Linked DNA regions of Arabidopsis thaliana. The protein of the gene in region 3 interacts with the protein of the main gene of each other region in a pairwise test. Each region holds a gene or a part of one and is shown on either strand. Other genes may lie near its edges.

Evidence for each region. Proteins that work in one complex are often made in the same cells at the same time.
Region 1: the proteins of MYB15 (region 3) and IAA19 interact in binary tests that used the Arabidopsis thaliana proteins (3 or more experiments, as listed by UniProt).
Region 2: the proteins of MYB15 (region 3) and PAP1 interact in binary tests that used the Arabidopsis thaliana proteins (3 or more experiments, as listed by UniProt).

Annotation. Positions count from the first base shown.
Region 1 is NC_003074.8:5,262,215-5,266,225, reverse strand, and holds IAA19 (indole-3-acetic acid inducible 19), read right to left. Parts: upstream 2,226-4,011; 5' UTR 2,127-2,225; coding exon 1,718-2,126; intron 1,125-1,717; coding exon 1,031-1,124; intron 939-1,030; coding exon 848-938; 3' UTR 531-847; downstream 1-530. UniProt on the Arabidopsis thaliana protein: Aux/IAA proteins are short-lived transcriptional factors that function as repressors of early auxin response genes at low auxin concentrations.
Region 2 is NC_003074.8:5,611,673-5,616,445, forward strand, and holds PAP1 (phytochrome-associated protein 1), read right to left. Parts: upstream 3,132-4,773; 5' UTR 2,537-3,131; coding exon 2,244-2,536; intron 2,033-2,243; coding exon 1,752-2,032; intron 1,660-1,751; coding exon 1,527-1,659; intron 1,308-1,526; coding exon 1,240-1,307; coding exon of another isoform or gene 1,214-1,239; exon of another isoform or gene 1,164-1,213; coding exon 1,129-1,163; 3' UTR 531-1,128; downstream 1-530. UniProt on the Arabidopsis thaliana protein: Aux/IAA proteins are short-lived transcriptional factors that function as repressors of early auxin response genes at low auxin concentrations.
Region 3 is NC_003074.8:8,307,325-8,311,467, forward strand, and holds MYB15 (myb domain protein 15), read left to right. Parts: upstream 1-1,884; 5' UTR 1,885-2,167; coding exon 2,168-2,300; exon of another isoform or gene 2,301-2,379; coding exon 2,380-2,509; intron 2,510-2,705; coding exon 2,706-3,300; 3' UTR 3,301-3,586; downstream 3,587-4,143. UniProt on the Arabidopsis thaliana protein: Transcription factor involved in cold-regulation of CBF genes and in the development of freezing tolerance. May be part of a complex network of transcription factors controlling the expression of CBF genes and other genes in response to cold stress.

The sequences.
Region 1 (4,011 bases), 3.0 Mb from region 3:
GAACAACAATATAGAAAAACAAAAACTAGGTTGACATACCGAACATGTCGGTGTTTTCTATAATTGATAGTACTTATGCTATCAAAAGCAAGATGTGCATATCTATAAAAAGAATCATTACAAAAAAAAAAAAAAAAATGAAGAATAAGCTTAAATCTTTAAATTAAGCAATCTTAACTTTGAATGTGAAATTACGATTATGAATTAACTAATTTCTTCGGAGGTATACGAATATTTGGAATAAAAACTTACTAGTAAAAATCTTATAGTACTAATAAATTATACAAGCATAACTCTAAGAGAAAAAAAAGGAAGAATGAATTCTTTGTTTTTATCTTACACTTATATACTTATGAAAACATCTATTTAGATTTGTGATGTCACTTACTGAAGTAGAAGTAAAAACTAACGAATGTTTTACGTAGACTTTTTTTATAAATATCTATTTAGATTTGCTTATAATATCCATATTTTTTCCAAAACACAGGTATACATAACATATCAACAATGAAAGATTCAAATAATAATTATTATTTTTTAAAAAGATGAAATAATGGATACTTATTACATATGTTTCTACACACATATATAGATCCGAAATAACAATAAATTTTGAAACAGATTAATGTTTTAACTCAACACTCAAGAAACAAGTAGTGTATATATATATAGCTGTCTTTCTGAAGATAATTATGCAAAACCATAACATGAAATTTTGTTGCAAAATAATATACTATAACATATATATTTATATAACATGAATAGGAAAAATGTTCTAAAGGATCTTGATGATCAAGTTTAAGATTAAATTAATGAACCAGCTCCTTGCTTCTTGTTCAAGTCATCATCACTCGTCTACTCCTCTAGGCTGCAGCCCAAACCCGGTAGCATCCGATCTTTTCATTATTCTCAACCTCTTGCATGACTCTAGAAACATCCTGCAAATCAAAATATCCAAACTCATTTACTTTAGTTTGTGATACATTTTCTTTTTGTAGTGAGATATCTTAAGTCAAAAGATAGAACATACCCCCAAGGTACATCACCGGCGAGCATCCAGTCTCCATCTTTGTCTTCGTATATGGTAACGTATTCGCAGTTGTCACCATCTTTCAAGGCCACACCTGCACAAATATGTATATATGTAAATTTAAAATTGTGTTGATAATATGGCGAATTCGGTATATAGAAAAGTCTAATTAACAATACAACTATACAAGTGGTGCATAAATTCTGATTTTTAGAAATTACGGATATGTAGTAACCGAAACCTCTAATTTTCTATGATAGATAATTTTCAGATAATTCAAAACAGTTTGGAGAAAAATAACCAGTTAAATTAGGACTAGTCTTAAGTCTCTAAGAACAAGTAAATAAATTTCCTGAGATGACTAATAAAAATCTCGACATATTTGTCCTTTCATAACACTTTAAATTAAAATCTATAACATTGCTACCACAATCAGTTCAACTGCTAACCAAAATTCTAACTATATTTGTATTAGTGTTGTCATTGTATCATAAATTGGGGTGTTGGTTTGGTTGTAGACATAAAAAGAAAGAACAGCACTAAACTATACTACTCCATTACGTCTACAAGACTACAACACTCTAAGTTCTTAATCGGACGTCTTGTAAACTATATATAATTAGTTGTTTTCCACATGATCTAATTACCACTCTACTTTTATGGGAAGAGAACATAATTGTTACTAACCGATGCCACGGAAACCGAAGAGCTTATCAAGAGCAAAGGCTAGATCATCATAGCCTTGGCTCGAACCAAGATCCATCTTCCTCAAATAAGGCACACCATCCATGCTCACTTTCACATACCCTAACCCCACTTTCGTGGTCGAAGCTTCCTTACAGCTGTTTTTCTTCCGGTAAGAACAAACCGGTGGCCACCCCACCACCTGGCTTTTCGCCGCCGGCGAATCATTAACCTTCTCAGCGTCACCACCAGATGAAACGACGCCGCTTTCACATTGATCACTATTACTACCCGACGACGTCATATTCATCTCCGTGAAAGCTCTCTTCTTCATCATCTTCTCTGCCACATCTCTCCCCGGAAGCCCCAATCTCAGCTCCGTTATCTCAAGCCCGAGTCCTTCCTTCTCCATTTCTTGAACTTCTTTTTTTCCTCTCACAATTTGATACAATTATGAAATGAGAACTTTCTTCTCCTACACTTCTCTTATTGTAGTAATGGCACCGCGTCGTGCTTTTTATATGTTGCTTCGTTGGTCCACACGATACAACCAATGAAAACCAATCCAATATCGACACGTGGAGTCATTTGATATCTAAAGTCTTCTTCTTCTTGTTATTCAGTTTGTGTGGGGAGACAAAGTGGGGGCAGAGACAGGTCAACTGAGGATGCGGTGGTCGGTCACATGAGAGACATAAGTTTGGTGCTGTTTTTATTTTTTTCTCAAAATTAATAAAGACCGGCATTACAAGGTGGTTAAGGGAACAGATCCTACGGTTGTGAAATTTTCTTCTGATTTTTCTCTGACCGTTGGATCATTGGAATCCGAATCTCCTTCTCCTAACATCCCATGTGTTTTTTTTTTGTAAAGATTCTTGTTCTAACTAGTATATCACAGAATCACAACTATAGTATACTTTTTCTTCAATAAGTTCATGTTATTTAGTTATTTTATAGTGAAAATAAATAAATAAAACTATAGTCTATTTGTTTGCATTTCTAATAAGAGGATGGGAATATTAAATCAAATCCTACCATTTTGGGATATGTTCGTTTATCTCTCTTTGCATCAGTTTTTTTGGATTGGCTTGTATATAACTAACAACATTTAGCTTAATAGTAAGATATTCCAGCAATGATTTTGATTGGTCACCGCTTTAATCTCACATGGAGAATATAAACCAGATATACAAAATTTGTATGGATCAGAATCAAATATAGTACCGAGTTTAGTTTTGGAATGTGACAAATAGTTACAAAGTAAAAACGTATATTCTAGTATGTTTTGGGTTCAGGTTTGAGTTTTAATCAAATCATATCCATAATTTATAAGAATATAACTACCTTCTCAAGTATTGGGTTGAATTTTACTTAGGGATTCAATTATATACATGCTCTAATCAAATTAGAATTTGGTTCGACTTTTAGATCAGTTTTTTTTTTTTTTTGTTTTTTGAATATCATATCATATGGATTGAATTTGTACTAATTTATAACTATTTAAATCTTCTTTGCAACATCCTGGTAAACCAAATTCCCAAAGAAATATATAGTCAATGGCAACACCTCTCAACTTAGACTAACAAGAGGATGTATTGTAATCTTAAGTTAGAGCTGTTTATGATACTCATCTCCAAAGTTAGTCTCGAACCAATGACTTCAAGCGGAGTATAACTAGTTTCGAATAGGTTCAAACTAAGCCAGACCCGCATTGTTGGGTAGTTGTTAACTATCTCTAGCTCAGCATACCAATAAAACACAAGAAGTATAATGATGGGGTTTAGAGGACGTAGGGACACGAGAATAGAAAAAAAGATCGACCGTGTGTATGTGTGTGAGTGTGTGTGGGTTCACTCTTGTCTACCAACTTTGATCAATGGATTGACAGAAACAAGTTGGGCCACGTGAAATTATATGAAATACAACCACATAAAGAGATTAAGTTCCATACTCCCATATCTCTAGTTTACCTTTAATGTTTCCAAAGGCTACCAAACGACATTTGTAGCACCAAATATTTATAAATTCCATTTTTACAAATTTTGAGTGGGAGCAGTGTTTGGTTTTCATCTCAAACGCACAACTGTCATCCTTTAAAAAAAACGTTTGTTTTATCAATAAACAAATATAATTTGATCAAAAATTTCATCCGAAGCCCCTTTTTCACCATGAAATTGGTCCATAGTTTATTTATGCACTAATGATACGATGAGCATAATATATGATGCTTGCAATTTGGAAAAACGCCGTTCAACTGGAAATTCAGGTAGTCTAAATAGAATTATTTCCTGACAGCA
Region 2 (4,773 bases), 2.7 Mb from region 3:
TGCTGATTTATAAAAACTGACTTTAGTTAATATTGGTTTTTAATTTCTGTAATTTTTGGACCCTAAAACCTTAAAGAAAATTGAAAAAAAAATTGAGGACCCTGTGCTTTTGCTCCTCTAGCACTCCCCTAGAGCCGGCACTGGTGCGACATTTTGCAACAAATGAAACAACGGAATTTTCCAACTCATTATGTTGCGGCTATCGCTTTACATATGTTTCGAAAATGTTTCTTTTTTGGTTTGGTTAAAAGTTAAAACATATACCATTATTTAGCTACCAAAAAATGTTATTATCAAACTATTTGGCTGCATCAATTTCAATGGTTATATTGTTTAACCACAACACTCATCTGGTAATGAGAAGGACAACTTCGAATAAAATTTTTAAGATGAATACAAGTCGGCCAAGTGATGCTTGTGGTATGAATATATTTATCACGAAAACAATGTGCTAAATTAAACATATCTATAGTGATGTTTTAGTCGATCCACCAAGACACTGTCCAATAAGTTACAATGTGTATGTATGATTTAAAAAGTCAGGATAAAAAGCTGCTAAATTCTGCACCTAGAAGAACAAAAGAGATGATATAGCCACCAAAATTATCACGACATGGACTGATCTCATTCTGAAAAGTCTTTTTTGAGTTTTCAACTTCCAATCTTATCTTCTTATATACATGCATACTCAGGTTAAATAGTAAAAACAAGAAGAAAAAAAAAGACAACAACAAAAACAACAATAATGGCCTTTCATTCTCAGCTTTTTACATGATTAAAGGTATAGCCAAAGTTGGAAGGAACAAAAGTTAAAAGAGCTTTTACAGAGAATAAAAATTTCATCTTCTTTTTTCAAAAAGAGTTTTGCAGACATGCATGAGATAATTATTACAGTATGTTCTAATTATCTCCTTAATTAATTAAAATGCTTATAAACACAGATTGCTTATGTAATCTCATCGTCTAGTGTCTTGAAGACATGGGAATATCAGATCAGATCAAATGTTTCTCTGGACCAAAAAAAAAGTAAAAAACCAATGATTAACTCTTATATATAACAAAAACCAGATGTACATTTATAAAGCTTTGAGACTCTCTGTCTGAAATAAAAGTTTCTAAAAAGACTCTTCAGTGCATCATCTTCTCTTGCTTACTGCATCCAACTGCAAATATACAGAGGAACCCTTTTAATCATATAGCTCTAATAAATCATCTAAACATATAAGAACAGAAGCTTACATGTCAAGGCAGATGAAATCTCAGAGCTTTTAATCACACGCAGTCTCTTCACAGATGAAACAAACATTCTGTGTTTAAAAACAAAGATTAAAGATCAGTTAGTATGCAAAAAAAGAGGTATAAACAAATCTCCAAGCAAAATTCTATTCTTTAGGTAAAGAATTATCAATTTGAATTACTACTACTATTGATTAAAAGCTGAGAACTTTTGTTGTTATATGATCAAGAATCTAATTCTGCAAAACACTGAATCAGATTCAGAGAACAAAAGGGGAAAAGATTCTTACTGCCATGGAACATCCCCAACAAGCATCTTGTCCCCTTCATTGTCTTCATAGGTTAAAGTAAATTCTCCTTTCCCATCTAATAATCCAATGATAGGTTTCTCTTCTCCTTGACCATCAGAGATATCTCTTTGAGCTATAAACCAACAACATACACAAATCATACTCAGTAAACACAAGTAACACTCCTAAAGAACTAAAAAACAGAATTTGAGATTAAGATTTAACCTGCGAGTAGACCTCTGAAGAGTTTGTCAACGACAAAAGAGAGCTGTTCGTAGCTGTTGTAAGCATTGAGATCAACTTTACGACCAATAGGAACACCATCCATGTTGATCTTGACAAACATTCCTTCCTTCTTGGTTTCAACTTGTTTTTCACCATCATCACTCTTGTTGATTTGACCTCCATGAGAGGATTCGTTACCTAGCTTTGAAGAGCTTGTGCTCGCTAGATTCTTTCTGAACGAACGAACCGGAGGCCAACCCACCACTGGACCAGGAGCAGTTCTTTGAACCAGATATCAAAAGAAACAAGAGACATATGTCAATACCAAACGACAAAAACAGAGCAAAACAGAGTAAATGTTGAAACTTTTAACATGTGAAGGTAAAAAAAAAAACACAGATTGCAGAAGATGGGTCCCTAATGTTCAAGAGAATATCCTCTGTCAAAGCAGTAAGAAAAAATAACAGTGAAGGAAAAAAAAGGAGATTATACCTTTTCTGTGAGATGTGAGGAACAGAAGTGGTTTTGTTGGAAGGAGAGAAGTGATTGCCATTAAAACAGTGGAAAGATTTGTCTTCTGTTTCCTTCTTGATGTTTCTTATCTCTGTGTTCTTCTTCTTGATTGCTGAATGATCTTCTTCATCACCACCGGGTGGTCCAAGCCTTAGCTCAAGTTTCTTCTCCTGATCTGTGTTGTTCTTGTCTTCTTGGTACCATTTCCTTCCTTGTGGAATCAAATCAAGAAGTTTTGGACCGATTTCTCTGTTTCTTGGACAACCTTCCATTGATCAACCCAAGATTCCTTCTATACGTTAACTATGTATGAAATTGAAATCTATAGCTTCACTAAACCCTAAGAACCCCTTTTAAAGAAACAATCCCACAAAACTGAGAGCGAGAGAGAGAAAGAGAGATGTGTAATGAAGGTATGGTAAGAGAGCAGTGGTGGGATTTTATACAAAATCAAAGCTTTTTTTTTCTCTCTCTCGTGCACGCTTTGGTGGGTTCTCTCTCACACAGCCTTACCTTTTTTTCTTTCTCAATTTGTTGTTCTCTCTCTCTAAAGATTCTGAAAGGGACGAGAAGAGAAAAAATAGGAATACAAAGAAAAGGAAATTTGGATTTGTATGAACAAAAAAAAACTCAGAAAAAGGTAAAGCAAAGTAGAGTGACTCCACTTTTACTCCTAAACCCCAAAAGTAGAAATGAAAACTACAATAAATTTACAGATTGCATACCAAGAAAAACAGTAATTGTTCTTGACATGAAAAGAGAATACTGTGAAAAAAAAGAAGTGGGTTTTAACGTTTTTGGTTTTAGGAGTTCTTTTGTGGAGTAAAACACACGCAACCTTGTCTTTTTTTCTGCCTCAAATATCGCTAATTAAGGGTTTGTCTAGTAAAAGAAGCAAAGCGTGCTGTTCTGTTTCTCACAAGTATACGAATTAGAAAAATAATTAAATGCGTAATTCCAATAAACAACTTGACCATTAAAAAAATACTAATAAGAGTAATTAAAATATGATAACAATAAAGGAACTAAGGGAAGATCCCATAATTTATGGTCTGTTTTTAGGACCACTCTCTTATCCACTGTCCATAAGACACATATCCCTATGCTTTTCTAAAAACATTTTTCTATAGGTCGTCATGGTAATTTGATACTTTAATAGTAATACTACCATTCTACAAAGATATACATAAAGCAAATAATAAATGAACATCATGGGAAGATCAATTGAGAGAATTCAAGAAATGGGTGAGGCATTGTATAAACATACGAATCTGCATGGCGTCTCAGTGAGATATATGTAATTATTTATTTATAAATTTGCCACACAATATGTCAATTTGTTAGGTAGCTAAACAATTATTTTGTCAAAAGTTAAAAACAATGTGTACGTGTGGATTACGATGGTATAATTTAATTTGCTTCCCCAACCAAGTAAATAGTCAACTGTTTGTTTGTTTTTCCTAATCAAAAATTTTCTTTTCTCAAATCTACAAAATCAACATATTTTGATAAAAATAACAAAAGAAAAGACTTTAGCAGAAACAATTGTAGTTGGTCCTTTGATCTTAAAAAATGTACATAATTTTGCAGCGTAAATCAAGAACATATTTCAAGTTTTTCAACCAAAGATTGAAGCTATTTTATTTGGTTTTTCAGGAGGGGGAAAAGAATGTACATGTCTCTCCCACGTACGTGTGACACCGATATTACGATAAAGCCGACGTAGAAAAATCTCGAGTGAGAGTTCCGGTCAAGTAAGGAAGGGTAATTTAGGAAATTGAAGAAGGAGTGTGTCTCTAGTCATATCTTGTCGCCGTTTTACCCAACTCCGTGACTTTCTTCCCTCACTGTCAGACAAAACCTTAACCATGGTTAACATAACCTGAACCTCTCCGGTTTAACTTAACCGCACTAACTAGATCCGCACAGACAAACTAGACAGTGGACACATGTTGAAGTTGCACAAGATTTTGAGATCGTACGATAAGGTTTAAATTTGGGCTTTAATCAAAGCCGTAGAAGTGAATAGAGATATAGCAAATGTGACGGCTGTGATTAAAAGAGTACAAAGCAAAGCATCCGATTAAAAAAGTAGCCGACTCAGGAGAAAAGGAACAAAAAAACAACTCGTGAATTGAATGTCATATCAAGGGAAATAAAGAAAAGCAAGTGAGAATAGTGGTGGTGTCAATGATGCTCTTCCTAGAATTTTCACCAAGAAATAAAATTATTTTTATCCACTCACTAATTTTTTTAGTGAACTAAAAAAGGAGTATATGTAAGAAATTGATATCATTTTAACAAAATAAAAAGAGGAATAAAAGAAAAAATAATCCAAATATGGATAAGGTCTGAACTGATCCTCTAGTATAACTGGCCCATGAAAATCACGCTGAAAATGAGCCCAATTGTTGATCATCAATGTTCATGAACTTCATGCCTTTATGGAAAAATGGGTTGACTATTGAGTTTTGACTACTAATACTAGTAGTTTTGTGAATTTATCACA
Region 3 (4,143 bases):
GGTGATGCTAATATATCTGCATATATAAAATTGCATAATTTAGAAAAATTATGGATTTATAGAATCGCAAAATCAAAAATCGAAATAAAAAGTTGAATACTAAACTCAGGCAAAAAAGATGAATTTGAATAAACTAAACAAAATTAAATAATTGATGTTTTGGTTTCATACCATATCAAATCTGAGAAAGAAACAAAAAGATAGAGATGAAAGTGATTTTCACATTAAGCTGTGGATTATGTTTACAACGAAATACATATAAATATTATATTTATTAGGCTAGCAAAACCTTAACTAAACCCAAACATGATGCAATTGATAATTTGTCTTTCTGACCCAATAAACTGGGTACATAAATTTTATATGTCAGTATGCTTCATGTTACAGTACTTTAATTATTTAACACTAGTAACGCAAAAAAGATTTTTTAATAAATGATCATTTAATCATTATCATTCTTCATTAAACATTATTTATTGTTTTCTAATAAAATATAATGATGGTTTAATTGTTAGTGTAAATTTATATGGTAAAACTAAAACCTGTAGGTAAGCCTCTTTTCAGTCTTTTGTTGACCAGAAACTTTGAACAATAGAGTTCTATTTTAACAAATACTAACAAAATACAGAAGAAGGGTAAAGTTTTAGGTTGAAACTTAAAAGGGTGCGATACGTGTGAACGCGTTGGTCAACAAATACTATCACGAGCTGTTCTCTTTCCCGCGGACAGATATTGATTTTTTCGTGTTCTATTTTTGGATTTTGTGGCTGGTGTAATAATAATATTAAAGCATATATACTAGTATAAAACTGGTAATTTTTCGTAGAGGATTGTTTTCTCAAAGCCCAAACAGTAGTTGCAAATTTGTAATAACCAGATTTTGAAGTAAAATAAAATGGTGAGGAAATTTTAGAATAATTTATTTATCAAAAAAAAACTTTAGAATATGTTACATATTTGGTAGTTATAGTATTGTATCAAATACACATATTAATCGAATTGTTTGATAAAATGGAAGTAAATTATTTTTGACTGAACTATGTAGCACATATTTATTTTATATGAATCTCAAAATCATTTATATAATTTATGAAAAAGTTAGTTTTTTTTCTATTCGATACGTTAACAATTAATTATGACCAATAAATTGTTTTAAGGCATTCAGCAGTCTAAAAATAAAGACTGAAAATGGCGTCATAATAAACGTAAATGCAGTAAATATTATTCCCTCTATTTTTGAATATTTGTAGTTTAAAATTTTTGCACACAAATTAAGAAAACATACAAATCTCATTTAATTTATCTCTTTCTTATAAAAATATTATTAATTACAATTAATCCAACCAATAAAAAAATATGATATAAAATATAATTGGTTAAAAACTATTAAACACATTTAATTTTGCATAGAAAAGTGAAAACAACACTTATAGTAAAAAAAATAAAAAATCTTTAAATTACACTTAATTAGAAATAGAAAGAATACAAAACGTACGGATGTTGTTAACCTAAACACGATTACTACCGAGACTAAAGATGTCTAAGTTTAATACTAAGAAAAGTAAAACAATTTTTCGAGCAGATATATGAATAGTGATTTTTTGGGTCAACACATAATCCACCCAACGTTGATTTTTGTTTGTCGTTTACAATCTCTAAAACGTTTATTTTCTAAGAAATATACGTGTGGGCTCATTTTAATGCCCTTCGTGCGTCTACCCGACGACTTTGTTTACTCGAAACTATATCACACACTACACCACATATTTCAACATCACACTGTATACACACATTTATATATACATGCAGACCGATTATTATAATAATATTTTCTCCGGTCCCTAAAACATATATATCATTCATTCCCACATGAGATATAATATTATGTAAAACATACTTTTGACTATGTTGCCAATAATCAAAAAGACATCTCTCTCTCTCTCTCTCACATCCTATTTTCCAAGAAGCTCACCAATGCTTTTGAATTCTCCCACATGTCTTTTGACAATTTTAGTATAAATACTCAAACCCCTTAGTCAGTCATTCTCATGTTCATCAACAGCATTTGATCTCAAGCTCATAGGAATTTGATCTCCACATTATATCTTGATCATCACCACAAGAAAAACATTTCAACTTCTTTTATCAGCAATCACAAATCAAAGAGATGGGAAGAGCTCCATGCTGTGAGAAGATGGGGTTGAAGAGAGGACCATGGACACCTGAAGAAGATCAAATCTTGGTCTCTTTTATCCTCAACCATGGACATAGTAACTGGCGAGCCCTCCCTAAGCAAGCTGGTATGTAAAAATTATAATATCAAATTTCTTAATTTTGATCAAATTTCTTACATTAATTATTGGTAATTATTATTTACAGGTCTTTTGAGATGTGGAAAAAGCTGTAGACTTAGGTGGATGAACTATTTAAAGCCTGATATTAAACGTGGCAATTTCACCAAAGAAGAGGAAGATGCTATCATCAGCTTACACCAAATACTTGGCAATAGGTATTTTACTTCACATATAAGTATATAACCGACACACAAGTTTTATTTTGTTTTCTTACTATATATAAATCACCAAAAGAAAGTAACTTTATACACACGTCTAGGTCGCACTACTATTCTTTTAACTACACAATGATCGGCTCTTTAATTACTTTTGTATTGATGTTCTTCGTTTTCCTTTTGGTATCATCTTTAGATGGTCAGCGATTGCAGCAAAACTGCCTGGAAGAACCGATAACGAGATCAAGAACGTATGGCACACTCACTTGAAGAAGAGACTCGAAGATTATCAACCAGCTAAACCTAAGACCAGCAACAAAAAGAAGGGTACTAAACCAAAATCTGAATCCGTAATAACGAGCTCGAACAGTACTAGAAGCGAATCGGAGCTAGCAGATTCATCAAACCCTTCTGGAGAAAGCTTATTTTCGACATCGCCTTCGACAAGTGAGGTTTCTTCGATGACACTCATAAGCCACGACGGCTATAGCAACGAGATTAATATGGATAACAAACCGGGAGATATCAGTACTATCGATCAAGAATGTGTTTCTTTCGAAACTTTTGGTGCGGATATCGATGAAAGCTTCTGGAAAGAGACACTGTATAGCCAAGATGAACACAACTACGTATCGAATGACCTAGAAGTGGCTGGTTTAGTTGAGATACAACAAGAGTTTCAAAACTTGGGCTCCGCTAATAATGAGATGATTTTTGACAGTGAGATGGACTTCTGGTTCGATGTATTGGCTAGAACCGGCGGGGAACAAGATCTCTTAGCCGGGCTCTAGTTAACATGTTTGAGGAGTAAAGTGAAATGGTGCAAATTAGTTAAGGCTAAGAAATTCAAAAGCTTTTGTTTACCGAGAAAAAAACACACTCTAACTCTTGATGTGATGTAGTTAGTGTATTAATTAGAGGCTGCGTTTTCAAAAAATTGAATTCATTTGTTTCTCCAAAATTGAGTAGTTTAGCTTGTACGAGTAATTAATAATCAATGACAAGTAATCAAAGAGTCTACGTATATTAATATTGCCTTGTTGATGAAATAATTATCCAACAAACATTGGATGCCACTATAACAACAACAGCAATTAAAATAATATAAGTACTAGATTAATTCACTGTTATAATCATTTTCTAATGAGGTTTTGAAAGTTCAACTATGGCGGAAAAGGTAAAGTTACGTAGTTTTATAATAAATAACTTGAGAAAAAGGAGCTTAATGATCATAAACATTTTTAATTAAAATCTCAAATCTCTAAACATTTGTAGTTTATGTGTTAACGACGTCTATGCGTCATCATCCAAATTTAAGCCCCATATTGATGACAAAAAATATTTAAATTATAATTATACAAAACATATAAAACTATTGATTACGTTTTTTTTGGTAAGGAAAACTATTGATTACTCTTAAACTAGATGTTGTCCTTTAAGATAATAGCCCACCAAAAACAAAATCGAGATAATAATAATCTAATTATTTTTAAAAATTTAGACACTGCTTTGTATTGTAATTTTTGAATATCTAATTCATAACATAATTAAGGTAGCTTAAAAGAAAAGAAAAGAAAAAATTGTGCCCTTTATTTGAGAAAGGTATAATTGTGTGAAGTTAAACGATGACGTTT